Linked DNA regions of Mus musculus. The protein of the gene in region 2 binds, or shares a complex with, the protein of the main gene of each other region. Links are inferred from orthologs where the notes say so. Each region holds a gene or a part of one and is shown on either strand. Other genes may lie near its edges. The genes, in order: Taf8, Taf6, Taf10, Taf3, Taf13, Tbp and Taf7.

What was found.
Region 1: Taf6 (region 2) and Taf8 share a complex: the UniProt entries of both Homo sapiens proteins name them as parts of the TFIID basal transcription factor complex. The link is inferred for Mus musculus from reciprocal best matches to the Homo sapiens genes TAF6 and TAF8.
Region 3: Taf6 (region 2) and Taf10 share a complex: the UniProt entries of both Homo sapiens proteins name them as parts of the TFIID basal transcription factor complex. The link is inferred for Mus musculus from reciprocal best matches to the Homo sapiens genes TAF6 and TAF10.
Region 4: Taf6 (region 2) and Taf3 share a complex: the UniProt entries of both Homo sapiens proteins name them as parts of the TFIID basal transcription factor complex. The link is inferred for Mus musculus from reciprocal best matches to the Homo sapiens genes TAF6 and TAF3.
Region 5: Taf6 (region 2) and Taf13 share a complex: the UniProt entries of both Homo sapiens proteins name them as parts of the TFIID basal transcription factor complex. The link is inferred for Mus musculus from reciprocal best matches to the Homo sapiens genes TAF6 and TAF13.
Region 6: Taf6 (region 2) and Tbp share a complex: the UniProt entries of both Homo sapiens proteins name them as parts of the TFIID basal transcription factor complex. The link is inferred for Mus musculus from reciprocal best matches to the Homo sapiens genes TAF6 and TBP.
Region 7: Taf6 (region 2) and Taf7 share a complex: the UniProt entries of both Homo sapiens proteins name them as parts of the TFIID basal transcription factor complex. The link is inferred for Mus musculus from reciprocal best matches to the Homo sapiens genes TAF6 and TAF7.

Annotation. Positions count from the first base shown.
Region 1 is NC_000083.6:47,495,792-47,499,291, forward strand, and holds part of Taf8 (transcription initiation factor TFIID subunit 8), read right to left. Parts: intron 2,848-3,500; coding exon 2,749-2,847; intron 2,450-2,748; coding exon 2,387-2,449; intron 912-2,386; coding exon 787-911; intron 1-786. UniProt on the Homo sapiens protein: The TFIID basal transcription factor complex plays a major role in the initiation of RNA polymerase II (Pol II)-dependent transcription.
Region 2 is NC_000071.6:138,184,427-138,188,590, forward strand, and holds the start of Taf6 (transcription initiation factor TFIID subunit 6), read right to left. Parts: upstream 2,801-4,164; 5' UTR 2,744-2,800; exon of another isoform or gene 2,536-2,743; intron 122-2,535; 5' UTR 62-121; coding exon 1-61. Other genes in the region: Cnpy4 (protein canopy homolog 4 precursor), read left to right, coding at 3,159-3,294. UniProt on the Homo sapiens protein: The TFIID basal transcription factor complex plays a major role in the initiation of RNA polymerase II (Pol II)-dependent transcription.
Region 3 is NC_000073.6:105,742,394-105,745,693, reverse strand, and holds Taf10 (transcription initiation factor TFIID subunit 10), read left to right. Parts: upstream 1-1,355; 5' UTR 1,356-1,375; coding exon 1,376-1,607; intron 1,608-1,709; coding exon 1,710-1,864; intron 1,865-2,201; coding exon 2,202-2,266; intron 2,267-2,353; coding exon 2,354-2,468; intron 2,469-2,630; coding exon 2,631-2,720; 3' UTR 2,721-2,800; downstream 2,801-3,300. Other genes in the region: Ilk (integrin-linked protein kinase), read right to left, coding at 3,032-3,181. UniProt on the Homo sapiens protein: The TFIID basal transcription factor complex plays a major role in the initiation of RNA polymerase II (Pol II)-dependent transcription.
Region 4 is NC_000068.7:10,045,810-10,050,016, forward strand, and holds the start of Taf3 (transcription initiation factor TFIID subunit 3), read right to left. Parts: upstream 2,801-4,207; 5' UTR 2,592-2,800; coding exon 2,426-2,591; intron 1-2,425. UniProt on the Homo sapiens protein: The TFIID basal transcription factor complex plays a major role in the initiation of RNA polymerase II (Pol II)-dependent transcription.
Region 5 is NC_000069.6:108,570,291-108,574,498, reverse strand, and holds the start of Taf13 (transcription initiation factor TFIID subunit 13), read right to left. Parts: upstream 2,801-4,208; 5' UTR 2,778-2,800; coding exon 2,751-2,777; intron 1,620-2,750; coding exon 1,541-1,619; intron 1-1,540. UniProt on the Homo sapiens protein: The TFIID basal transcription factor complex plays a major role in the initiation of RNA polymerase II (Pol II)-dependent transcription.
Region 6 is NC_000083.6:15,498,453-15,502,687, reverse strand, and holds the start of Tbp (TATA-box-binding protein), read right to left. Parts: upstream 2,801-4,235; 5' UTR 2,664-2,800; intron 1-2,663. UniProt on the Homo sapiens protein: The TFIID basal transcription factor complex plays a major role in the initiation of RNA polymerase II (Pol II)-dependent transcription.
Region 7 is NC_000084.6:37,641,405-37,645,576, forward strand, and holds the start of Taf7 (transcription initiation factor TFIID subunit 7), read right to left. Parts: upstream 2,801-4,172; 5' UTR 2,541-2,800; intron 2,129-2,540; 5' UTR 2,109-2,128; coding exon 1,083-2,108; 3' UTR 1-1,082. UniProt on the Homo sapiens protein: The TFIID basal transcription factor complex plays a major role in the initiation of RNA polymerase II (Pol II)-dependent transcription.

The DNA.
Region 1 (3,500 bases), on a different chromosome or scaffold from region 2:
CAACATGGTGGCTCACAACCATTCGTAATGAGATCTGACACCCTCTTCTGGTGTGTCTGAAGACAGCTACAGTGTACTTGCATATAATAATAATAAATAAATAATATATAATAAATAATGTAATAAATAAATCTTTTGGGCTGGTGAGATGGCTCAGTGTGTAAGAGCCCCAGCTGATCTTCTGAAGGTCCTGAGTTCAAATCCCAGCAACCACATAGTGGCTCACAACCATCCGTAAGGAGATCTGACTCCCTCTTCTGGAGTGTCTGAGGACATATAATTACATATAATAAATAAATAAATAAATAAATCTTTAAAAAACAAATCTTAAAAAAAAAAAAAAAAAGAAGCTACAGTGTACTCACCAACATAAAATAAATAACTTTAAAATGGCACTGGCCATTCTTTCAGAGGACCTGGGCTCAATTCCCAGCACCCACATCCAATTCTAGGTGATCCAACGACACACACACAGATGAAACCCTCACACACATAAAACCTCTCAAATAAACCCTAACTCTTCCTGGCCAGGTTGCTTTACTCTGTGCTTCCTCCCCTTCTGTCTCTCTTTGTGAGACAACATCTCACTCTGTACTTCAGGCTGGCCTCAAATGCACAGCAACTCTTCAGCCTCAGCCTTCCAAGGGCTATGATGAAAGGGGTAATTGCATATCAAGATGGCATCCCCGTAGGAAAGTCCTCAGGGAGCTGAAGGTTACTCTCCCCTGCAACCTCCATCAGTCATGTTTCACACACGCACAGGCCCTGGGCAGCTCCCAAACTCACCGGAGTTTTGATGTAGGTGTGGGGATCCGGAAACTCAGGAAAATGGCTGGGGATGTGTGGCGGGTGGGGCCGGTTCTGCCCTGCAGTGAGGGCCTTGGGGGTCACTGGCTGATTGGTCACTGGAGCTGCAACAGATCGCAACTAGTTAATGTCTCCAACCCTGCTTGATATTTCAATCTGTGACAAGCTGCTTCTCTCTGCGGCTGTGGGGATGGCTCAGTGGGGAAACGGGCTTGTCACCAAGCCACTCTCTAAGAGGCACATGGTGGAGGGAGACAGGCAACTCCACAACGTTGTCCTCAACGTTGTCCTCACCTCCACCCACATGCCGCGGCATGAGCATGCACACACGTACAGATACGAGTACAGCCAGGAGGTTGTGCTGCACGCCTCTATCCCCAGCACTCAGGACACAGTGGCGAGCAGATCCCTCAGTTCGAGGCCAGCCTGGTCTACAGAGTGAGTTCCAGGACAGCGAAGGCTACAGAAAGAAATCCTGTACCTGTACCAAACCAAACATAAACAAGTTTCCCCCTCAAGTCCTAACACTAAAGCAGTTACTCCCTACTTAGCATAAGGGACCCACTTTTTTGGGGGGGGGGGGTTTAAGATTTATTTATTTATTTATTATATGTAAGTACACTGTAGCTGTCCTCAGACACTCCAGAAGAGGGAGTCAGATCTCGTTACGGATGGCTGTGAGAGCCACCATGTGGTTGCTGGGATTTGAACTCCTGACCTTCGGAAGAGCAGTCGGGTGCTTTTACCCACTGAGCCATCTCACCAGCCCCTTTTTTTTGTTTTTTTTTTTTGAGACAGGGTTTCTCTGTAGTCCTGGCTGTCCTGGAACTCACTCTGTAGACCAGGCTGGCCTCAAACTCAGAAATTCGCCTGCTTCTGCCTCCCAAGTGCTGGGATTAAAGGCGTGCACTACCACGCCCGGCAGGGACCCACTTTTATCTAAAGCAGACTAAATAAATCTTTTTATATAAAAGGATACATGATAAGTATTTTAGATTTTTGTTTGCTTCTTTTTTGAGCCCAAGTCCACCTGTGTAGCTCAGGCTAGCGTAGCCCTCCCTATCTACAGTACACTAGAATTCTAGAGCACCCCCACCTCCTCACAAGTACTAGGATTACAGGCGCATCCACGAAATAGCAACAGTTCAGATTAAGCAAACCGAAAACCTCTGCCTTTGCCACGTGAAAGCAATCACATACGGTGAGTAAATAAGCTGTATGCCAAGAAACTGTTACTAACAAAAGCAAGCACACTTTGTCCACAGACCCCAGCCCTTGCAAACCCTCATCTAGAGAAGCAAGAACTGTCACAGTTTTTTGTATGGTCATTTGCTCTTCGGGGCTAAAATGTAACAGCAGCAGCTCAGACATGGTGCAGCTGCCTGGAGACTGACCTTCACAGTTTAATCCCACTGCATGGACACAGCCAGTCTGTGAGCAGCTCACCACTCCAAGGACTGGGAGGGAGGGAGCCCACAGCAGGAAAACAGCTGCCTCTCTGGTGCCTGCCCTCTCCTCCCTCCAAGGCACACTACAATCACTGAGTACGTACTAAGTATCAGAGTTCAAAGCCACTTACGTGCAGTGATGACCATCCTCTGAGACCGTTTTGCATAGGCAGGTAGAGTGTCAACATTGAAGCCTAGGGACAAGAAAACTAGTCATTGCCATGTTCTGATCCTGGCGTGATACTGAACAGGAAAGGGGAGCTATCAGTGTGGAATGGGGACTTAAATCCCAGCTTAGCCACTCTTCTGCCTCTCAAGAGAACTCCCACAGGGACTTGGGAGGTCTCTGAGACAGGGTCCAAGGACTCCTTCCTCATACCTTTCTAACTAAAAGCAGATCAGGGGAAATAGGATGGAATTAAGACTCAGCAGACATGGAAACCCCCCCAGGCTTCCCCGTTCTCTGGTGATCCTACAACGGAGATACACTTACCCATTTCAACCAATGTGACCACGATGTCCGACAGTGTGGGCTGGGTCCTGGCTGTGTGCTCACAGTATGACTTAGCACTTCTCCCGATTTCTGAGATGTCTACAAGGATCAAAGGCCAGAGTTTCTCCAAAGTTCAAAATAAGATTACCAGGTGGGCCACCAGTTATGCTATATATATATATATATATATATATATATATATATATATATATGTGTGTGTGTGTGTGTATGTGTGTGTGTATGTACATATATATATATATATATATATATATATATATATATATATACACTTATTTATTTATTTATATGCCCAAGTGACCAAAGGCAGGGCTCAAACAGGCACTTGTGTGCATTCACACACAGCAGCACAGATTCTGTTGCAGGATATTTGTTCATACTGTGAACCTTGAGATTGTGGTGTTTACTAGAAAAACCTGTTTCTAGTTGTGGTGTGGCTTAGCCCTAGCACACACCTTTAATCCCAAACAATGAAGATAAAGTTAGTTTGTAGAAGGAAGCACCCATGTTCTAATTGAGTGGCAGACAAAGTGATGAATCAGAGAAAGGTTTGACAAAATAGGATCTGCCCAACCCTCATGAGGAGAGAGAGGAAAGGGAAGCTACTTCAGGGGTAGTGCAGAGAAAGAGGAAGGGAGGTCGTTTTCGTGGGACAGTTATACAGAGAACAAGCTAGACACAGGTGAAGACAGAACGAGCTAGAGGACAAGGAGCCAGAGGATTAGACAGATTGC
Region 2 (4,164 bases):
CCTTCATGGACTCAGAGGGCAACACAGTATTGCTGAGTTTCAGTTTCTTCTCCTCGGCCATGCTGGAATTCCAGCTCCTGTCCCTGGAAGGATGCCTCCCCAGGATGGAAAGATGGAGATCCTGATAGTGGGGTGGGGTAAGATAAAAAGGAAAAATAATTCAAACCCTACATCTGAGTTCCTTCCTTCCTTCCTTGCAGCTCACCCTCAAAGCAAAGCTACCAAACAACAGCTTGGCCTGTCCTTTCTCCTTTTAGACACAGGGGCTCACTATGCAGCCGTGACACTTCTAATTCTAGCCTCCTGCTTCTGCCTTTCAAGTACTGGGATTACAGGCATGTATTAACATGCCCAGTGACAATTTTGTTTGTTTGCTCTTAGTTTTGTGTACAGGATTTCTGTAGCCACACCTTAAACTCTGTAATGAAAGCTAGCCTTGACTCTGGATTCTTTTGCTTCTACCTTCCTAGTTCTAGGATTACAGACATGTACCTCTACAGTTTTGTGGTCTGGGAAATACTCTAACAACTGAGCTACATCTCCAGACCAGTTTGTCCCCTGTCCTTCCACCCCAAGGCTGTGTAACCCCAGCTGACCTGGAACTTGCTCTGTAGACCAGGCTGGCCTCAAAGTCAGTGATCTGGCTGCCTCTGTCTCTTGGATGATAGGATTAAAGGCGTGTACCACCACTGCCTGGCTCAGGCTTTTTTTTTTTTTTTTTTTTTTAAATAGGGCCTCTGTAGCCTAGGCTAGTCTCTTACTCCATATGTGGCTGAGAATGGCCCTGAACTCCGGGTACTTTCCAAGTGCTGGGACTATAGGCGTGCATCACCACATCCGGCACAAGTCATTCTTATATGGACGCTTAAATCAAATCCACCAGGCTGGAAGATGTGGTTCAGTAGTAAGGTACTTAGCATGCACATGGGCCTGGGTTTGATTCCCAGCAGAACTTTAAAACTTACCAGGCAGCCCAACCCGACCCTTTTTGGCCCAGATGATTATCACCTATTCATCTGCTGAACTCAGTCGCTGGACAAGGTGTTCCTATTTCCATCTTGGCTTTTTTTGTGCGTTTGTTTCTTAAAACCAAAGTGGTCTGTCAAAATATAAACTAGGTAACTATTTCTTTCCTATAACGACTCCCCTTGCCTCCTGTCCAGGTGTAGGGGTTAACACTTCTAATTTCAGTGGACTGCCTTGGGTTTCATGTCAGGCTTCAGAGTGTACATGCTGTACACCCATATTCCCAGTACCCTGGAGGCTAAAGTGGGGACAGCAAGTTTGAGGCCATCCCGACTCTGCAATAAGTTCCTGTCTAAGATGGTTTCTTTCTTTTCTCTCATATCTCTGATCACCTGCCCCGCCCCCTCCCACTTTACCCTGACATCATTCTCCTTGCTGTCCTTTAAATCTGACAGACATGTACTTGGCTTTATAGCTTTTGTTGTGTTCTTCCTAAACGTGTTTGGCTGACTACCTGACCCCACCCACCTCTCTTTAGGGGCAGGTCTCCTATAGCCCCACTGGCTTCAAATTCACTAGGTAGACAACACTGGTCCTTTGGCCTCTACCTCCCAAGTACTGGGATTGCAAGCACATACCACCATGCCTGGCTTTACCTGTTTGCTATGTTTTCTTCTTCTTCTTAATAATAGTGATATAATATGTATATATATAAAATCACTCTAGATTAAATCTAAGACCTTCCACATGTTAAACAACCCTTCTACAATTGGGTCTCAGGCTCGTCTGGAATTCATCCCGTGGTCTTGATTTGGAGAGCCTCCTGCCTTTTACAGCTGTTTACCACCAAGCCTGGCTATTATTTCTTCTTGTTTATTATCCTTACCCCACCAGTAAACAAGAATATGTCTGTTATGTTCACTGACCTATCTGGTGCCTAGGGCATTGTTAAATATATGAATAAGTCTTTTTTTTTCTTTTTTTCTTTCCTTTTTTTGGTTTTTCGAGACAGGGTTTCTCTGTATAGCTCTGGCTGTCCTGGAACTAACTTTGTAGACCAGGCTGGTCTAGAACTCAGAAATCCGCCCGCCTCTGCCTCCCAAGTGCTGGGATTAAAGGCGTGAGCCACCACTGCCCAGCATGAATAAGGTGTAAGTGTTCACTAAATACTTGGTATAACAATTACCAAAATGAAAAAGACACAGACTCAAGCTTGGAGTTTACTCTGTGGTTAAAAGGAAAGGAGCTTGCCTGACACTGGACATGAAACCAACCTCAAGAGTGTTCAGAACTGAGTGCTAGGGACTGGTTCTTTTCATTCCAAGTCTTCTCAGACTTTTGTTAAATCTTGTCTACAGGAAATACAATTATTCAGCACATACTCTGTACCTGGTCGGGTCCCAGTCCTCTGTGGTGGTACCCTTGCCACTAAGGTTTCATAAAACACTCTAGCAGCCTCGGGAGTTTCTCAGATCAGTGGAAGCGACAGGAAGACTTCTTAGAGAAGGGATAACTTGAGCTATATCTTTACATCATTTTTCTCAGCTAGGGAAGTGATTCGAAGATTACCCGGGCAGCGCTACAGGAGGTTCACAAGCCACTACATCGCCCCACCATCCTTCCAGTGCAGTCACGCACAGGGTCCCCACGAGCACGGACACACAACCAACCGTCTTCTTCCCAGTCCTCACATGGGCCCTTTCAAAGGGTCTCCTCACGGATACACCTCAGACTTTCCCCCGCCAGCCAAGCACCGGGAGCAGTAAAAGCCTCTCACCGCTGCCAAAGCGCCGCTCACCCGGCGCTCGGCGCCATCTTGGCCCCGCCCCCTGACAGGAGTAGGTCCTGGCAGAAGCCAAAAAGTTATCACTGTTCTTCCCTATGTCAAAATAGACCATATCGTTTCACAGTCTGAAATTATATAAAAATTTCATTCTACGTGCATGTGTAAAGATCATATTACTCTATTCTAATTACTTCAATTTGTATCTTCATTACCCAGCTGTCAGGACCTTCAGAAGGCGCCACAAAACTGAGCCATCACGCTCCACCCACTTTCGGGCTGGCTCTGAGCATGCGCTGACCGTTCTATGATTTTTTTTTTTTTTTTTTTAAAGCTTGCTGCGGGCTTCGCCTAAATTTAAAGGGCCCGCTGCCTTCCAGAAGTTGGTCTGAAGGCAAAGGGTGGTTGTATGTGTGGACTGCGTTTTATCATGGGACCTGTGCGGCTGGAGATACTGCTTTTCATCCTGGCAGCGTACGGTGCTTGGGCTGAGGCGACAAAAGAGGAGGAAGATGACACAGAACGTTTGCCCAGCAAATGCGAAGGTACAGAAACGGAGTAGTTGCTATTTACATCTCCCTATCTACCTCCTGCCTCTCTAACTCTAGGCTGAATCAAATGGGCTAGGATAGATGGATCACTAGACTGTCTTGAAAGAGGTTCTGTTGGAGCTTGGTAACACTTGAATGGGAACAAGGGAGGGAAAGCAGGGTTAAGGTGGCACTACATTTCCCAGGTGGCATCCAGAAGGATCTAGGTTTTTCTTGCGGGCTTGGGCCCCAATGTATTGTGGGAATTGTAGTTCAAGAACCTGTAACGCTGGCTCTATGGAGCATCTTCCTCAGTCGTTTCTCTCCTTGTTAAAAATCTGGACAATCTGCATGGGTGGGGTGTAATACTCATTCCTTATAGGCATACTGAGTCCCGCCCTGGCAGAGACGCTCTTAAATTACAGGCCTGATGGCCCCCTTTAGGGGTTTTAAAGGTGAGTAAGTCCCCAGCTGAAGTTCATAAAGAGAAGATGAAGACACCACACCACTTAGAAGTTGCCCATCGGTGTGAGGCTTTGCAGATGGGGTGCACTGTAGGGATTTTACAACAAGCAGCATGGCCTCTGGCTACATTAGTAAATGCCCTCCCCCCAACCACCCCTCCCATCCCCAACAGGGAGGAAGCCAGGTCACTGAATAAATATCCTGTGGCTCCCTAACTCTAACTTTTTCTTTGGATTCATTATTGCTTCACTTTACACCCAACAACATGTTTTTATCATTGACACCCATGACTTGATTCTAATCTCTCACTTATTTTTGCATCTGTGTCCCCACTCTTCTGAGTCGGGGTGGGGGTGGAGACAGGGTTTCTCTTTATAGCTCTGGCTGTCCTGGAACTTGCCTGTAGACCAGACTGGTCTC
Region 3 (3,300 bases), on a different chromosome or scaffold from region 2:
ACTCCAGGGATGCTGTGTTCATTGTTCCATTCTTAGTTTCTTGCTCTTATCATTTTATTATCATCCCTTGACAGATCACTGACATCTATACCCACAGTGAGTGATACCTCAAATGTGAGATACCTCGTTACTTCATCTCCCTCCAGCCCAGACCTAAACTATTTCATCTCTTAATCTATGATATAATGCCTCTTTCAAACAAGCCAGAAACCTATAACTCTTAACTCTCATCTTTTTCACCTCCTTACTAACTTCAAAAAGTTTTCTTGACTGCCTCTCAAGTATATCTTTATCGGCTAGTGTGGTGATGCACACCTTTAATCCCAGCACTCAGGAGACAGAGGCCAGGCAAGTCTCTGAGTTTGAGGCCATCCTGGTCTATATAAAGAGTTCCAGACAAGCCAGGCCTACATAGTCAGACCATGTCTCAAAAATACACATATGTGCACACACACACATGCACAAAATACTGCATTATCTTTGAGCCCATGTTCTTTTTTCTTCTAAACTGCAGGAAGCACTTGGGGAGAGGAAAGGCTTCCGAAGCCCCTCATCTTCCAAACCAAGCAGTCTATGTATTTGTGCAAACCCTTCAAAGATTACTGGGTAAAAGTCAGAGACATTGAAACTTGCCTTCAAAATCGGGAAATAAACATTGCTAATGTCTCACACTTGGAATTAAGCAATGAATGTTAGTTTCCCTTTCTTCTTTGCACTGCACCTACATGTAGCTGGGAAACAATCATACAGTATTGAAATTGTCAGTTTGTTTGCCTTCCTTTTCCAGACAGTCGGTGCTAGTGAACTAGAATCTGATTCTTAACTTTGTATTCCTAGGTCCCAGCCCAAATAGAAATTAAATAAATGACTGTTTAAAAAAAAAGTCTGTTGTATTGTAAATGTGTTTCACACAAGACTTTGGCATGCTATTTCTTCAGGGTAAAACACCCATCTCTACATTTACAGAGGTACTCTCCTAAGCCCGTTGTGGGTGGGAGGGACACACATCAAATCCACTGCAACCCTTAAAAGACCATGAAAGGGAACTACAAAGAATGCATGAAGACCGTCAGGAGACTGGTAATGAAGTGTCTGGCAGATGAGTCCCCAAGCCAGGTCGTTGAACGAACCCAGATAAAGTATTCAGTCCTGGATGCTCTGCGGCCCCACCCGGGCCGGGGTGGAACCGCAGGGTGGCAGCCACATCTCACACAGCTCGCCTCCGCCTTGAAGTCTACACCTCATCCACTAACAGCCAACCTAAGGTCGCCCGCGGCAGCTTAGAGTGGTGGGCGGGAACTGTAACGTCACGCAGCGTGCGCCTGGGCGAGCGGAAGCGGAAGCGGCTCTGTTCGCCGCCTTTCCCACCGGCCCCATGAGCTGCAGCGGCTCCGGCGCGGACCCCGAGGCGGCGACCGCCTGTGCCGCCTCGGTCGCGGGTCCGGCACCCCTGGTGTCGGCTCCCGCTGCGCTGCCCACTAGCACGGCCGCGGAGAGCAAGGCCAGCCCCGCGGGGACAGCAGGGGGCCCCGTGGCTGGAGTCGCCACTGCGGGCACGGGCCCCGTGGCGGCACGGGCAGGGGAGCCGGCAGAGCGGCGCGGGCCAGGTGAGGGAGGGCCGGGCCGGGTGAGGGAGGAGGGCATCTCGGACTAGGTGCCGGGGCAGGGGAACCCTGCGCCTCTCACCTGTGCTGTTGATTCTCCTTCAGCTTCGGTGGCAGCGGGCGGCGCGGCTCCCCCGGAGGGGGCAATGTCTAACGGGGTTTACGCCCTACCGAGCGCGGCCAACGGAGAAGTGAAGCCCGTAGTGTCCAGCACACCTCTAGTGGACTTCTTGATGCAGTTGGAGGATTACACACCTACGGTGCGCTTCCCACCTGAACAAGGCCACCTGGCTCGCTGTCAATGCCTTTGAACCACACCTTCGTTCTTTCAAGCTTTCTCTGCTATGAAGCCATCTCTTTTGTTGTTTGTTTTTTCGCGACAGGGTTTCTCTGTGTAGCCCTGGCTGTCCTGGAACTCACTTTGTAGACCAGGCTGGCTTTGAACTCAGAAATCCGCCTGCCTCTGCCTCCCAGGTGCTGGGATTAAAGGCGTGTGCCACCACTGCCTGGCATGAAGCTATCTCTTTAGTCCTCCGTCCCAGCCAGCGCATCAATAGGCAGATCTAACACTGATGGCTGTTTAATTTGATTTTTCAGATCCCAGATGCAGTGACTGGTTACTACCTGAACCGCGCTGGCTTTGAAGCTTCAGACCCACGCATGTGAGTAAACTCGGAGCAGGTTAGACTGTTGAGTGCTAGGTGGAGTTTGCTAAATATTCTCATTACTACCACCCTCTTCCTCTCTAGAATTCGGCTCATCTCACTAGCTGCCCAGAAATTCATCTCAGATATTGCCAATGATGCCCTACAGCACTGCAAAATGAAGGGCACAGCCTCTGGCAGCTCCCGGAGCAAGAGCAAGGTGTGAGAGGCTCACCTTCCACTGCAGTACAGGCCTAACTTATCCTGAAAGCCTTTTGGGGAAGCAGAATCCTAGGGGAGGTATTGGGCCTGCTCAGGGTCACCCACAAAGGATTGGAGTCTGCACTTGTGCTCAGCTGGTGGTCTTCCCTCTTTCCCCCAGGATCGCAAGTACACCCTAACCATGGAGGACTTGACCCCTGCCCTCAGCGAGTATGGCATCAATGTGAAGAAGCCGCACTACTTCACCTGAGCCACGCAACCCAGATGTATTTGTCTTTCCCTCTGTCCCCACACGAGCCTGTTTTCATAATAAACTTTATTGTGACAGGCGGGGCTGATCCCTCCCATGTTGGGAGACATCATGTGGCAAGTGACAAAGCTCTGAGCCCAGCCCCTTTTGGGGCTACAGTGGTAGGGATGGGAGCAGGGAACAAGTCCCATAACTGGGGTAGTACCATGATTAGAGACAGGGGAGGCAACCAGAGGTCTTTAACTTTGGAGAAGTGTACTCCCCCAGCCATGTTTTGACACTTCTGGAGTTTGGGCAAGGACCTGAAGGTCCTACTTGTCCTGCATCTTCTCCAAGATAGGCACAATCATGTCAAACTTGGGTCGCTTTGCAGGGTCTTCATTCATGCAAATCTTCATGAGCTTACACACATGGGGGGAAATACCTGGTGGGATGGTAGGCCGAAGGCCTTCCAGTGCCACCTGCAAATTACAAGGAATAAGGTGAGCTTCAGAATTTGAGTTCATCATATGGGTAAAAGCCTTTGATCCTTGAATGGTAAGATTACTATTTATCTGTATAAACTGCTGGAAGCGCTTAC
Region 4 (4,207 bases), on a different chromosome or scaffold from region 2:
ATCATATTCTCATTAAAAAAAAGAGCGAAAAGGAAGAGAAGAAAACTGACTAGAAAAAGATGGGTAATTATAAAAAGTTTCATACTGGACAGTGGCAGCACGTATCTTTAATCCCAGCATTCAGGAGGCAGAGACAAGCAGATCTCTGTGAATTCAAGGACAGCCTGGTCTACAGAGAGAGTTACAGGACAGCCTGGGATATGAAAAAACCACCACCAAAAAAAACAAAAAACAAAAACCAACCAACCAAACAAACAAACAAACAAAAAAAACCCCAAAACTCTGTCTCAAAAAAACAAAAGAAAAGGCCAGGGAATGGAGGGGAAAGGGTTCATGATAAATGTGATGGCCCACACCTTTAATCCCAGCACTCATGAGGCAGAGGCAGGCGTCTGGTCTACATACTGAGCTCTAGGATAACCAGGGCTATGAAGAGAGACCATGTCTCAAACATAAACATAAAATAAAATGGGGGGCGGGGGGAGGAGGGAAGAGAGGAGAGAGAGGGGAATGAAGAGGTTCTCAGTAAAGCACAATGAGTTCTTGGACACTTTGGAATGCTTGAATCCATGAACTACCTGGCATGGAAGGTAACTATGTATTCAGGGGATATTTTCAGAACCCAAAAGGTATACATCTGCCTTTAGTTCAGGAACTAGGTAACAAAATATAATCTATCTTAAACATAATAGTAACAATATACTGAAGGTCAATGGAGAAGGGGCTTGAAGGTAAGGAAGCAACAGCTAGACGATCATTCTACCACCACACACGTTAAATCAAGCACTCAAAAAGATGTGCATTTTAGGAATTCATTCACTAAGTCTTTTGTGGACTACCCATTAATTTACTAGCCAACTGTTTCCTATTTGGAACAACCCTAGGGTGACACAAATCAGGATGCTCCAATCAGTTAGCACAGTAGGTACTAGAGTAATACAAATACAATCAAGGGTGCTCCAATCAGCACATTAGGTACTTACGCAGAATATGAATATAATCAATTTATCTTCTGGGTCAGGGTACACATATACACAAACAATTACAAAATAAGATAAATAGGATCTGATTTGTTGGGGTTTCATTATTTTGTTAGGAATGGCATTTGGAGTCTTGAAGGTATGGCGAATCTATAGGCCCTCACTTTAAAAGTAGGAACCACTGTAGCAGAACAAATTACTCTATAAAACACTTCATTTAGTTATCCAACTTGCCACCTTAAACGTCATATCTTGGAATTTAAATGAACGTTATAATCCCCGCCCCCCCCCACACACACACACACTCATACATCAGTAAAAATCACACATCTATAAAATGATCTGTACCTTCTACAAATCATTAAATACCACCGGGTAAAGACACTACTGGGCATTCACTTAAAAGTCAATACACTGTCCCCAGATTCTATGTCTCAAGTTCCTCCCGTGGGGCTGGCTTCTAGTTGTGGGGACATCCCATAAGTAGTTTCAAGAGGGAAACTGGGTATTACTTGGCCACCAGGATTCAGCCCTAGTTTCAACTGCAGTCCTCCATGTGGGACCGTCCCCACTCTCCTAGAACACACCTGAAAGGGCTGGAGCCCTGAAGAGGGGCAACACGGAGGACTGTGCTATCTTTACTCACTCCCAAAACATACACAGGAGCCTTTAATCTCATTAAAGAGACATGAACCAGAAAAAAAAAAGTTAATACATACTGCGACACTGAGTACCCGGAAAACCTCCCAAATTACCGAGTGATGCTTCCCATCACACTTAGATCAACACTAACAGAAGAGCATAGAGGAAGGACGCCGTGCGTAACTGAGATGCTTATTGAAAGGTATTCAGCGAAATCGACAAAACCTGCCTTGAAAAGTAGTAGGCGAAGTCTGTGAAACGAACAGATAGAGAGGGGAGAAAAAAAAAAAAAAAAGGCAGCGACCCTGACTGAGCGGAGCTGTCAACGAGTCTATTTGGGAGCTCAGGAATGGCCAGCCTTGTAAGAAACGGCCGGTAGACGGAGCGCCTGTGACAACTAGTTGTAGTAGTTTGCGAGCAAGGGAGGCAAAAGACCAAGGTGAGCGAGGTGGAGAGCATTCTGGGGGTGGCTCTGGCCGCAGCCGACCCGAGACAATGAGAGAGACCGAAGCACTGGTCCAGGAGCAGCATCGGTGAGAGGGTGTGTGGCTGCGAGCCGGGACCCCGCTTCCCTGCCGGTGGCGGGAAGTTAGCGGATGAGGAAGAGGCACCTAAGGGATGACTGGAGTTCGCAGGAGACGGTGGAAGCCCCCCAGACGGTCGGAGTCTGAGAGGATCCCCATGTCGAAGCCGGCTTCGGAACGCCACCCCTGCAGGGGATGCCCAAAGGGGTCCGGAGGGGCAAAGGTGTCACTCGTGACCGGCTTGGGGCAGCCCTCCCGCAACCCAGCCCCAGTACTCACAGAGTTCAGAGTACCGATGGCAGCCCCGGCCCAGCTGCTGCAGATAGCGCTGCAGGACGTCGGTGAGGAGGTGGCAGGCGCTGAGCTGCACCGAGTCCCAGCCCAGCGCCTGGCAGATCTGCGCCACCGAGACCCTCAACAACGACCTAGAGTAACTCTCGCACATCCCGCTGCGTGGACGCCACCGCAGCCCTTCGCTGCCACTGCTCTCCAGCCCTGCCGCCTCGCCTCAGCAGAGCCCCCGATTCATTCTCTGGGGGCCCCGCGGCGGGGAAATCGTCCCCCCTCCGACCCGGAGCGACCACCTCAAAGCCTCAGCAGCACGGAGCGCGCCAGCCTGAGAGCCGCCATTTTGGACTCGCTCCGCCTCCCGCTGGACGGCCGCCGGGGCGAGGCAGTACGAGCAGAAGGCCGAGAGATAGGCGGCCCAGGCTCCGCCCAGTGGGAGGAGAGCGATCGTCTCGGGATCGACTCTAGAGCCTGGACGCCGGCCGGAAGCCGAGTGACTGGGCGCAGGTGGAGTCTGCGCCTCCCTGACAACAGGTGCCGGTGTCTTTCTCTCCCCGCTGATGGAAAAGTAAGAGGTGACCCTCGGTGTGTTCAGGGGCAAACCAGGGAGGCAGTGGAATGTTAAGGACTTAACATCGATAATGTTGATAGAGATTCAAGTGTGAAACTAGAGAATTGGGAATATAAGCTACTCCGCAGAACGCGGATTCGATTGTTTTCCTTTACTTAAATCTAAAAAAGTAAAAACGAAATTAAAAGATGAAAGATAGTATTCAGAATGAAATAGTGGCCACTTGGGAGGTTTGAGTGAAATCCAAGATGTTCACTCAGGAGGCTGAGGCAATCATAAGCTAGAGGCCAACTAGAGTCACCGAAAAACCGAAAAAGACTCCGGCTCTAAAAAAAACAATCAGAGCTAATAAACTCATGTTGTTCATTGTGTCGTTCAATGCTCTTCATAATATGGCTGGTTTTAAGGAAAAATGCCTACGTGTTCAATTAGTGGGAACTGCCCCCCTCTTCCCCAGTAGTGAGCAAGATATTATTTTAGTGCAGTTTATAGCTAGTTCTAGTTTGCGTCTTACTAGTCACAATACGTAGTCTATCCAAGACGTGGAGAATGCAGTTCCCTACAGAGGTCGAATACTCTGTAAATCCTTGAGACTGGTTTTGTCCAGAGAATGCTTGCTTGCCTTTCCCAGGGCTTCTTCCAGCCCTAGTTGCATTTTGCCTGACGGTAACAGAAACTGTGATGAGATGATAAATAGGTTTGGTTGAAATAGTGGGTTGTCCCGTCCGTCCATCCCGTCGTCCGCCCCCGCCCGCCCCCCCCCCCCCGTGAGTCTCAATCTTGTTATGTTGCAACATCTGCCCTTAGACTTTTGGGACTGAAGTGAGCCTCCACAGTAACTGGCACTTTGGGCAACTGCTGGTAGACCCTGATTAATAATCCCAGTGCTGGGCAGGCAGAGGGAGGCAGATACCTGAGTTCAAGGCCAGCCTGGTCTACAGAGCTAGTTACAGAACAGGAAAAAAAGTTTCAAATTAAAGCCAAACCAATCCCAGTGACTACTGAGTTAAACCAAACCTACTTCGGCTATATTTAACTACTCCATTTCTTAGTTGTGCCTGCCATATCTACCATTGACTATTCAGTATATAAGTTTATGTGCCCTCTCCAATAAATTGTTTCTAGGCAGCTGTGATGGCTAGTCTCAGTTGTCAACTTTAGTACATCTGGAATCAACTAAACCCCAAATGACTGGGCACACT
Region 5 (4,208 bases), on a different chromosome or scaffold from region 2:
ACCCTGTCCAAAACAAAAAACAAAAACAAAACAAACAAACAAAAAAAACCCCAGCAAAAATAGAAGAGACATGAAGATTCTATTAAGTCAGTGGGAGAAGCCTGCGAAGATTCCAAATTTTTGTCATCACAAAAGTAGAGCAGTTGAAACTGAACTAAAGGTTTGGACAAGCAGCAGGGTGAATACCATTCCTAGAGCACTTTAGTGTAAGGGTCGTTTTCATATGTCCACATAAGGAGTAAAACCACACACAAATCACGTAACTAGCATCAGTGAGACAGAATGGGAAGTGGTCAGACTTGAACGAAACTGGAAGGTACTAGTGAGGATTTCTGTTATGGTTGTAAGATACAGCCGAAGTTGCCTTCAAACTCAATGAGGAAGACCCTGAACTCAAATTCTCCCATCCCTATCTCTCCCAAGAGCTGGGATCAAAAAAGATTTAGAGAGTTAAAGGCTGATCTTGCAGTTTCTAGAATTTTTCAATCCTACTGTACTCAGGCATTTATAAATCTCTGCCGCTGTACTTCCCAAGGCTCAGCCAAGGAGCCTGGGAGAAGGGATGGAGAGTGCAGTCTCATGGGCCTTTCAGGAATTAGTATGGGCACAACAAGTGGACACCGCTCACCCTGCGCTGCCCCAAGGGCTACCTGTCTGTTTAAGGAGCACCATGGAAGGCTAGTGCACTGTCATCTCCACAGCACACTTCACCACCTTCTTGCCCTGAGCTATGCCTTAGTCCAAAGCCTCAACTTACATCATTTGAAAGGTGGACACAAGAGGGATACAACGTTCAAAATGTCAACTGGGAGCCATGGCATATGCCTGTACATCTAGAGCCAGGGAAACAGATAGGAGAGCAGAAGTTCAAGGTTCTTGCAAGGTTCTTGCAAGTTCAAGGTTATACGCATATGCATACCAAGTTTGAAATCATGCTGGGATCTAAAAACCCTGCCTCAGCTGGGTGGTGGTGGTTCACAGCTTTAATCCCAGCACCCAGGAGGCAGAGGCAGGCAGGCACATCTCTGTGAGTTCAAGACTAGCAGATCTTGATCTATTCTAAACTCCAGAAAGAGTTCTAGGACAGCCAGGGCTACACAGAAAAACCAAGCCTCAAAAAAGGAAAAGAAAAACAAAAACAAACAAAACAAAAAAACCCTGCCTCAAGGAGGAGGGCAGAGGTGATCACATTCATTATTTTATGTCACACAGAGAGAATTAGTAGACATGAGAGAGACTTATACTGACCATGGGATGCACACCTGCAATCCCAGGACTTGAGAGGCTAAAGCAGGACTACCACCAAACCAAGGCTAGCATGGGCTAAACAGTAAGCACCAGTATAGCCTTGGCTATACAGAGCCTATCTTTAAAACAAACAAACAAACAAACAAACACCAAGAATAAAAACAGGCAACCTTATAGGCAACTCTGAGAACACTGTCCCTATAAACAAACATATGCAGAACAATATACTCTGAAAAGACATGTTCAAAAGCTTTCACCACCTGTAATAAAAACACTAGAAAGTACAACTTACATTCTTTCGAGAAAAGTCTCTTTCTCTTCCCCTGGCCACCTTCCGCTCCTCCTCCAATTTCTTCATTCTCCTCCTCAAACTAGAAATTTTAAAACACGGACATGGCAAATGATTGCAGTGCACGTGATATTCCCTCGAGTCTCCTCCTGCTCGCCCTCTTTGTGGAGTGCTGTGAATTGAACCCACGAGCTCACGATGCTAAACAGATGCTTGACCACTGAGCTACACCTCCTGCACTCTTTTCATCTTTTTTTTTAAAGGCATTTATTATTTATGTGTATTGTGTGCCTACATAAATGTGCCTGCTGTTGCCCATAGAGGCCAAACTAGGTCTAATCGCTGTAGGTTGCCAGATGTGACAGCAAATGCTCCTAAGCACTAAAGCTATCTCTCTACACTTTTTTTTTTTTTTTTTTTGAGACAAAGTGGTCTCACTATGTGCCCGTGTCTGCCTGAACTCACGGAGATCCGCTTGCCTCTGCTCCTGAGTGCTGGGATTAAAGGTGTGCGCCACCACGCCCAGTGACCCTTTTTCATTTTCGAAAGTGAGAAGCTAAAGCAAACTGCACAAAACCACGAAAATTTAGCACCAAAGGGCTCATAAGCCCTAGTCCAATTCTCAAGTCGTGCAAGAAGGCTTTTATTACGGCTGCTAACAACCTTACAACCGTGCGTGTGTAAAGTTCTAACGACCTCAGGTTCTGGGTTTGGTTTTAGCCAATTTAGTTGTCACACTGCTAAGCAAGACTACTGTAAAAACCTGGTAGTTTAAAATCTACTCTCTGCTGTCATCGGAAGCAACTGATAAAGGGCTAAGAACTTTCCTTAACTGGGCTGGACTCTACCTCACAAGAAAACCGATGCCAAAGGAGAATTTGGATCCCAAGCTTCCTGTCTTTAGTTCATCGTTTCTCCGCTATCTTCACTAGTTTTGTCAGCATCTGGGCTGCTGGTTCCGCTTTAATCAGCTTTGATCTCCTATGACCCTCTAGATGTCTTAGTGTCGGGAAGATCCAGGTCAAAGAGAGACCCTTTCTACTCTTCCTTCCCGTCTTGTCCCACGCACTGACTAAGGTAAACCAAAAAAGGAAAACACCGCGGAGCCCCCGGACTCTCGGCGGGAATCCCTAAGGCACAAGCGGGTCAGACTCTGCCTCCGCTAGTGATCCGAAAGGAGTGAGGAACCAGGCTGAGACAGGCGCTCACTCACGGTGGGGTCTTCCTCCTCATCTGCCATGCTAGCTGCTCGCCAGCCTTCTGAACCCGCCCACCGGCGGCTGGCGAGTTTTATAAGATACGTACGTCACTTCCGGCCTGGCCAGCGTTGCGCAGAGAGGCGTGCGCGTTCATTCTCCTACCCAACCCCGGCCTTGGGATTGGCTGGAAGTCAGTGACGTGCTCTTACGTGTGGAATCCTGAAGGAGGAATTAAAAATTACAAAGAAGCCAGGCGTGGTATACTACGCCGGGAAATCTCTGCACTTGGCAGGCAGAGGCAAGAGGGCTTCGAGTTCGAGATCAGCTCAAGTTTCATGAGCCCATGTCTCAGAAAACATAAGTGATAAATTTGTGCATACTTACGGAGGCTCACAAATGCCTGTAAAAATAGGATGACTTTTTGCCTCTGGGGCTGATCCACTCAAGTACACAAGCCCCATGATATTATATATAGTATCTATATTATTATATAATTATATATCTACTTTCTTTTATGTAAATAGGTGTTTTGCCGGCAAGTATGTGTACCATGTGTGTGCAGCACCAAAGAAGCCAAAATAGAGCAACCGATTTCCTGGAACTAGAGATAGACGATTGTGAACCGCTATATAGGGGCTAGGAATCAAACTCAAGTCTCTTGAAAAGCAGCCAATACTCTTAACCACGGAGCAATCTTTCCTGCCTCCGTTAATACGCAATATATATATGTAGTTTGGGTTGGAAGGTTGTTTTGCGCTTTTTTTTTTTTTTTTTTTTGGTTTTTTCAAGACAGGGTATCTCTGTGTAGCCCTGGCTATCCTGGAACTCACTCTGTAGATCAGGCCGGCCTCGTTCTCAGAAATCCGCTTGCCTCTGCCTCCCAAGTGGTGGGACTAAAGGCGTGCGCCACCACTGCCCGGCCGTTTTTTGCTTCTTCTTCTTTTTTTTTTTTTTAAATTACAAAAGATGTGCTAGAGAAATGGTTCAGTCAATAAAAGCTCTAGCGGAATAAGCCTAAGGCTCAGGTTCAATCCCTGGGACCTGTATAAAAAGTGAAAGGTGAGAAGACAGAGTCTGCAAGGTTGTCCTCTGGCTTCCATACACAATAATAAGAAAATATTTTAAAATTATGAAAGAGCTAAGTGTAGTGGCACTCGCCTTTAATCCCTGCCTTGGGAGGCAGAAGCCAGAAGATCTCTTTGAGTTAGAGGCCAGCCAGGGCTACATAGTCAAAACAAGAAAACCAAAGCTCGGCAGTGGTGGTCCATGCTTTTTGTCCCAGCACTTGGGAGGCAGAGGCAGGCGGATTTCTGAGTTCAAGGCCAGCCTGGTCTACAGAGTGAGTTCTAGGACAGCCAAGGCTACACAGAGAAACCCTGTCTCGAAAAACCAAACCAAACAAACAAATAAACAAAAAGCAGAGACATTAAATATATCAGAAAGATGGCAACACAGAAAAGGTGGAAATAGGG
Region 6 (4,235 bases), on a different chromosome or scaffold from region 2:
GGCTGGCAAGAAACGGTGCATCAGGCAAAGGCGTTTGCTGCTAATCCTAATATTGTGCATTTATCCAAATGGTGAAAGGAGAGAACAAACTCTCACAGCCAATTCTTCACATAAATGTAATTCATTTTATATGTGTATTTTGTCTACATATATGCCTGTACATCACTTTCATGCCTTGGTGCCTTCCGAGGCCAGAAGAGAAGGTCAGATGCCCTGGAATTGAGCTACCATGGGGTCATATGTATCCTTAAAATAAACATGGGTCTTTGGATATACAACTTGTAACTTTGAAACCTGTGTGTTCTTTGTGAATTTAGACAATAAATATTTAGATTAAGATAAAATTGTAGCCAGGCAGTGGTGGCCTTTAATCTCAGCACTTGGGAGGCAGAGTCAGGCGGATTTCTGAGTTCAAGGCCAGCCTGATCTACAGAGTGAGTTCCAGGAAGGCCAGGGCTACACAGAGACACCCTGTCTCAAAAAAACAAAACAAACAAACAAACAAACAAAAATCAAATTTAGGGTGTGAGAGATGGCTCCAACCTGGTTCTCTAGAAGAGTTGGCAGTGCTCGTAACCTCTGAGCCATCTCTCACAGCATCAGGGGCCAGCCCTTTGTACAACCTCCACCCTCACTTCCCACCCCCCACCCCCCAGCAAAGGACTTGAGGTTGGGGGAAAGAATTCCTAAACAAACTATACTGTTAGAAGAGAACACTTATCGGCATGATTTGCACAGTCTATTAGGTCACTTCTTGATTTTAAATATGCTGCTCAGTTTTATACCATTCACAATACCTCAAGCATAAAGCGCCATACATATTGAACTGGACACAATATGCTTTAGGTAGTTGTTTGTGTTTCAATTAAAGGCAGACTAAACAAAAGATGAAACATTATCTCATCAGAGCATATTAATGAAAACTATGCCTAGAACTGGGTTTCTTTAATCATCATCTCTTTCGAGGTCATGGACATGAAATATGAATAAAGACTAAGAGACTATGAAATGTGTTGTTTTTCCTTTGTAATGGTAGTAGTGATAGAACCCAGATCCTCCTAAATGGTAGGCAAAGGCCCACCCTCAATTTTTTAAAGATGCTTAAAAAAAAAAAAAAAAAAAAAAAACTGCAGGCATTTACTAAGCAAGGCAAAATGTTGAAAAGCTGAAACCTAGGACAGGACTTGGCATTTGTGCTCATGAATGGATGCTATGGAAGAGAGAATACAAACTAAAGTCAAGGGGCTAGAGAGCTGTTCTGCGATTAAGAGCACTGTTGCTCTTCAGAGGGACTGGGTTTGATTATCTTAGCACCCACATGGCTACTCACAACTAGCTGTAAATCCAGTCCTGGGGAGTCCAATGCTCTCTTTTGTCTTCCATGGGCCCGGACAAGCATGTGGTGCACATATAGACAGATAAGCAAAACATTCACATATGTAAATCTTTTAAAAAGTTAAGAAAGACATAACTAAAGTCAAGTACCTTCTGAGAGGCCGGAACTCGCACAAAGCAGGGGCAATGTAACACAGGTCTAGCAAAAGGAGCAAAAGGAACAAAACAACACAAATCAGCACTCTAGGTGCAGCACAAATCACAGAAGGGAAAGGGGGGGACAAAGCCTTGGAAGAGCATGCAGTGTGTGACAGGCTCAGTATGTAAAGTCACTACAAAAGATGACAAAGCAGCTGTAGGTGGGGTTGCATAATTCAGAATGTAAGATGTCATTACACAGGCAATGGAAACAGTTAAGGATTTTAAGGTGCAGTTTGAGTATCTCCTGTGTCAAAGAGCAGATAAATCTGAGAAAATTGAAGACTGAAAATTCAATTTCAATCACTGCTTTGGTTGAGGAAAAAAAAAAAAGTTGGATTTCATGTCCAAAGTATAACCAGTTATTTATCCAGATCTCTTTCTGCAAACGAAGTTTACTGAACGCTTGATTATATAGACTGGGGAATTTGTTGTACGCTTCGCAGAAGTCATTTCACACCTGCAGACGATATAAACCACCTTTTCTCGTCTGCAATCTTAAAATCGCAATAATCGCTGCACAAACTTATTTTTAGGCTGTTTTCTGGGTTTTCATCTTTTGGAAACTGAGCCATCAAACTGAGTATTTGGGAAACCGATTCCGCACAGTCTTCAAGCGTCTGCCTAACCGGTCCGGCATCTTTTTCCAGAGAAGCCTACCCGGAGTTTTGGAAAACCACCTTAACTTGAGGCTAAAGACCGACAGTGTGTAAATAAAGCAGCATGCGTTTTTATGTTAATCTCGATTAGCTTGACTCTCAGGCTTCTGGCGAGATGCTGAGTCTCGAGAACCGCTTCCTAACAGAATTATTCTTACTGGGGACAAAACGGGCGGCTGCAGGCCTGGGTAAAACTCTCCCACCGGGGGAAGCGGCTGAGACGTGCGGTGCGCGGGGCTGTCCGGTGCCAGCCCCTCGGAGACGCTCACCCTTGGTACTGGGTTTCAGGACCCCGCCGAGGCGATGGTCCAGAGACTGGTTACTCGCGGAGCCGCCGCAGCGCGCGCGGAGGACCGTTCCCAGCCCGGCCGCGCGCCCACTCGCGTCTCCTCCGGCAAACTCCGGGGACCCGCTGCAGAAGTCGCCTTTATTAAGGCCTCCAAGCAGAGAAAAGGATGAAAGGACCGTTACCTGGGCACTGCGGAGAAAATGACGCGACCGCAGAAACCTAGCCAAACCGCCAGCAGATACCCGCCACCGCTACCGGACTCGATCCACCGAACGCCTGACGCACATCTGATGCCGTCACTTCCGCCAGTTGCGCTCTTGACTGCAGTCCGATTTGTTGTGCTTAAGCTGTGAGACACTGGGAAGGAAACGAGCGGGCCGGGTACCAGCAGTTCCGGGGCGGGGCCTCCGACGGCCCTTTCTAGCTGTCAAAGAGAGATCTATTGAGTGTGTAGCGGAAACAGTTGGGGATGTGGCAATGGCGATCAAGCCCAAGCAAGCGTTCTACCACTGAACTACATCCTCAGTCTTCCATGATTTGTTTTTGTGAGAAAGAGTTTCTCTGTGTAGCCCCGACTTTCTTGGGACTCACTCTGTAGAACTGGCTGGCTTCGAACTCCAGAGATTGCTTGGCAAGCTTACTGGCTCCTCCCCTTTGAGATTTGTGAGGTGGCTAAGGAAAATGTCAAGCAAACGCTCCTCATCATGTTCTCAGTAGATGTTAACTTACGTTCAAGGAAGAACAACAAAACAAGCGACTTTGTAGTCACAGATTCATTTCTATTTTTAGCTCGGTCACTACCAGCTCTCTTCCTTGCTGCCACAAGAAAACGTCAGCTGTTTCTTAGGCTGCTTCATAATGCTTGATTGATTCCAACATATCTTAATTTTTTTTTCCTTCTGAAGTTCATCTAAGGCATATACATGTGTTGTTCTGCGTACTTCCTTTCCCTTGTATTTTGCATTATCAACGAGGTAATGAGCTCCTTTAGGTTAAGGTTAGCGCTCTCTCTCTCTCTCTTTCTCTCTGTGTGTGTGTCTGTGTGTGTGATGGACAGTATCTGTGTGTTATGTGTGTAGGTGTTGTATAGGTTGTCTATTTACACAGACTCTAATAAGTACAATAGTACTGTGTATCTATTTTCCCCTAAAGGAAACATTTTCTCTTGAAAGTACAGGAAACCTCAGAAGACTGGGGAATTGAGAAAACTTAACAAAGGCTTGTCAAGAGGCAATATAAGGGAAGCGGGTTTTATGTTGTCTTACTGTTTGAGGAGATACAACCCAGGGGGAAGCATGCCAACTGGATTGCATCCACAGACCAGAAACATAAATAGATAAATGTTAGTTCGCTTCTTCTTTATTTAGTCGGGAAATCCAGGCAATGAGGTGGCGCCGCTTATATTTTAGTTGGGTCTTCGCTCCTCAATTAAACCTTGAAACACCCGCATAGACGCATCCATGGGTTTTACCTACATGATGCTAAGTTCTGTGAAATTAACAATATTAACCATCATATTCTGGCTAAAGAAATCTGGTATTGCTTCCTGGGTCTCGTGGCTGCGTACACCACACAGTTGACATGCGTCCTGATTGGCCTTGAATGCAGCATGAACTACTAACCCGTCTCAAACGCTGTGCCACTTCGCCAATGTGACATCCGAGTTGTCGTTGCTCTGTAATTGGGTTAATTTTTTTGGTATGGTCAGACTTTTAATTTTCTATCCGCCATGAGTAAATCCAAACGTTTTCTTA
Region 7 (4,172 bases), on a different chromosome or scaffold from region 2:
CAGACTAGTTAGGGCTTCAGAGGCTCTGGCAGCCGTCAACAGCAATACAGAAGGCAAGTTCTCAATGAAAGGGGCCAGATGACTTCCATTCTGAATTCATACTTAGTTTGCCTAGGGGCAGCTTTTTAGTATTTAAAAAAACACACAGAATTTTTCTCTGTATATGAAATTTTAAAATCCCAGACCAGGACACAGGTTTTCATACTGGGAAATACTAATGAAACAATATGAATAAACATCAGTCTATTAAATAATTGTAGCAGTTAAATTGGCAATAGTTAAAATATAATCTTAATCTAAGCATGTGGAATAGTTTATCTGATAACTGCTTCCAATATTTTACAGATAACCTTAGTGCTTAAGAAAAAGATACAGATATCCATCCATAAAAACTAGGATAGTTTAAGAAGGCTCTAGACCCAGTGTTCATAAACCTCCAGATGAAGTGGGTGGACCTGAACCTTAATATATAATGCAACAATGAATTTCTCCATTTCCTTACCTGGTGCTTTCCTTTTCCTAAAAACAAAAGAACAGGATTTATCTTGATCTACACCATTCAGTCATTAAACTCCATGAACCACCTCAACTTTCAGTATTCATAGAACAACATCATAAACAGTGAAAATTAGTAGCTTTTATTGTATAAGAAACAACCTTTATGAAAAACTTGCATTTCTGTAACATGGAAACTTGCTGAGGTAAAAAAAAATATATTTCTTTTAAAAGAAATTAACTTCACTGCCTGTAGGCTAGCTTATTACTGATCTTAGCACCAAAAAAAAAAAAAAAAAGGACTAGAAACTTTTAGGAAACAAATTGTAATAAAGTCCTGTGATTAAAAGTTCAAGTGTTTTCATTTCACTCATCTTTCTTATATCTTCCCTACAACAAACCTGTCTATGTAATCCTATTTTCTTAAGAATGAAAACCCACCACCATAGTTCTGAAAAACAATCAAAAAATTTTCAACAAAACTCAGGGAATAAGAACATTTCAAAGAAAAAAAAAGTATTTCAAGACCTTACTCTGAAAATAATTTTTTCTTGAGCTGACTAGTCTAAGGACTAAAGTCAACAAGCTCACTTCTCCAGAAGTGATTCCAGCTCTTCCTGCAAAGAGCTAAGCTGCTCCTTTTCGCGGTCTTCTTTTTGTTTGAGCTCATCCAGAACTGCCTGAAACCTGTTCTTGAGAGCCAGGTTTTCTACCTTCATAATGAGATCTTCCTGGCGCTTTGCCCTGTCTTGGGTTTCTTGGAGCTTGCCTTTCATGTTATCTATCTGCTTCTGAATTCCCATAACCAACTGATTGGTTCCTTCATTTTCTTGGTGTTGCTCGTCGGATTCATTTAGCTTGTCTTGTAGCTGTCTCTCCAGATCTTCCTCAGTGTCAAGGATGTTTACGTCTTCTTCATCTTCACTGCTGCTGCTGAGGTCATTGAATATCTCTCGAAGCTCATCATGCTCTAGTGAGTCATGGCCTTGCCTGTGGCCAGACATTCCTGGAGAAGAGATGTCCAGGCCTTGATTTTCTGTCTCCTTTGTTTCATCTTCAGCAATTATCTCCCAACGAGTACTGACAGCTTCTGCATCTGTACTCAGCAGACGCTTGACTTCTTTTTCCACATCCGGAGATTCAATGTACTTCTTCTTTGCTGTCTTCCGGAACCGTCTCTTTCTGACATTTTTTAGAGGTAGAGTAATTCCATGGTTCCAAACAAACTTTTTCTCTTTGTCCTTATCTTTTTTCTTGTTTGCTTTGGGATCAGCAGTGGCAGCTGCCTCCTCCACAGGAGGGTATAGGTCACCATCTACTGTGGCTACAAGCATCTGAGAGATATCAGCTGTCTTGTAAAAGGTTTTCTTATCGATGGTTTTCAAGCTTTCCGTAACACAAGGCAAATCGACCAATTTTGCAGCCAAGGGCACTCGATCCACTCTGACAATGCCGTGACGCCCATCAGGGTGTAACTCAATGCTCAGTTTGTCTTTCAGGTTGACATGCCCAGACTGCACTGCCCTCCTCACCGTAGCGGCATATTCTGGGGGCAGTCGTAAGATAAACTGGCTCTCTAGCTCATGAGGCGCATCGTCTTTGTTCTTACTCATCTTTAATTCCTTGTGAGCTCCTACAACAATTAAAGGGGGGGGGCAATGTCATTAAGTAGAATTTTAAATTCGTAATTACCAAGTTCCAAGGAAAACAGCAACAAAAGTGGAACGCAAGCTAGTGCCTATTTTGTCTTAATTTTTTAATTAAGTCCCAAGTCTAGTCTTTAAACTTTTAAACTTTGGCACTGTCCCTGTTAAACTCACTCGTCTGCTAGATGCAGTATCATATTAGAGCCTCTAAAAGACGCTGCTGATAACCTGAACAGCAAAAGAAACGGCAGCGACTGAGGGGTTTTAGGCACAGACCGTCAGTCTAGTCTGGCAGACAACCCCGATCCACAGATTCTCTCCAATAAGATATAAAATAAAAGTATTAAAGAAAAAGAATAAGTAAAGGGAGTGAACGAACTCTTCGACTCCGGTACTTACAGTTCACCAGCGACTGTGAACTTAGCTTTTCGCGGCTTGAGCAAAGCAGCAGGGAGCGGTGCGTCCGCCTTCCGGTTTCTTGGCGTTCTCGGCCGCCCGGCAGGGCGACCTATGCGCTAACAATGAGACGGCTAAGGACCCGCGGCGCGAAAGCTCCCTCTCAGAGAACCGAACACCGGAGACAACTTTCCCACGTCTCCTCTCACTGAAGAAAACGAAAGTGCTCCGTCAGAGCGGAAGCAGACGCGGCGCTACGTCACAGACCGGAAGCAGACACGGAGGGGCTGGCCGCCGCTCTTCCGGAAGTACTAGCGGCGCGCGCAGGCGCACTTCGTAATTACGTCGTTCCGTGACTACGTCTTCTCGTGAGAACTTGCCCTGTATAGGCTGTTTCCAGAAAAGCTTTGCTTTGGAAATGCAAGATGGAGATTCCAAAAAAGTAAAACATAAACTTACCCCGTAAGACAGCACTTTACGAAGTCGCGGGTCGGGACAGTTTCTAGAGTGATTACCAGAGATAAAGGTCGTCCCTGCAGAAAGCATCTTTACTTCCCAGGGCGTACCCAGTCGGCCTCCGCTAAAACATTGGAAACAACACAAAGTAAAAGTGGCCCAAACAGTGAAATGATACAGTATTGCTGTTCACTCTCTAACGCGAAAAATCATGCTTATTGCCTTGAAAGGAACTAAGCCTTTGGCTTCATTTGTGTTTTTGGATCCAGAGGACCAGGTGTGATATGTATGATACGATATTTTGGTAATATGTCAGATAGCTATAACTGTAAACAAATGTTTTTATGATGACGCAGGTTCATTTAGAACAGAATTGTCTGAAACACAAACGGTCTGATTTTGTTGTGGAATGTCCACCAAAGAACGCTGTTCAGACACAGGTTTAAGCCAACAAATATTAACTAGCCAGTGACTACACTGGGTGTTCTGGATCCCAGTTGGCCCTGAGACTTTGTCATGGTGAGCTTTTAAGCACAAACAAATGTCCTGCATTGGCATACTTTTATTACAAGAACCATAAGCTAGAGACTGACCTACAGAAGCCAAAAAGCAAGGCTGGTACATTTAGAGACTTTCCCAGAACTATGAAGTTTGATAAATTAGGTCTTTATTATTTATTTTGCTCATTGATACTGTCTGTATTAGTTAGGGTTCTCTAGGGTCACAGAACTTGTGGAATGCCTATATATTAAGGGAATTTATTGTAATGATTTGCAGTCTGTAGTCCAGCCACCCAACAATGGGCAGCTCTAAATGGGAAGTCCCAAGAGGCTACTTTGTTTCACCTGGTCTTCTGTATCCTGAAGACGTAGGTAGCAGCAGATGTGCTGGCAAATAAGTGCAAGCAGGCAAAGAGTGAGTCTTCCTTCTTCCAATGTCCTGCAGCAGAGTGTTCTGCCCAGATTAAAGGTGTGGACCACCACTCATGGATCTGGAACCTGATTTGTCCAAATCTGGCTTTGAAATAAGAGATCTGCTTGCCTCAGTCTCCTGGGATTAAAGGTGTATACTACCTTGCATGGACCTAAGCTTTTTATGGCCACTATGCCTCAAGATCTTCATGTAGATTCCAGCCTCAAGACCTGAATCATTGGTGTGCCCTCCATTTCTGGATTGTGG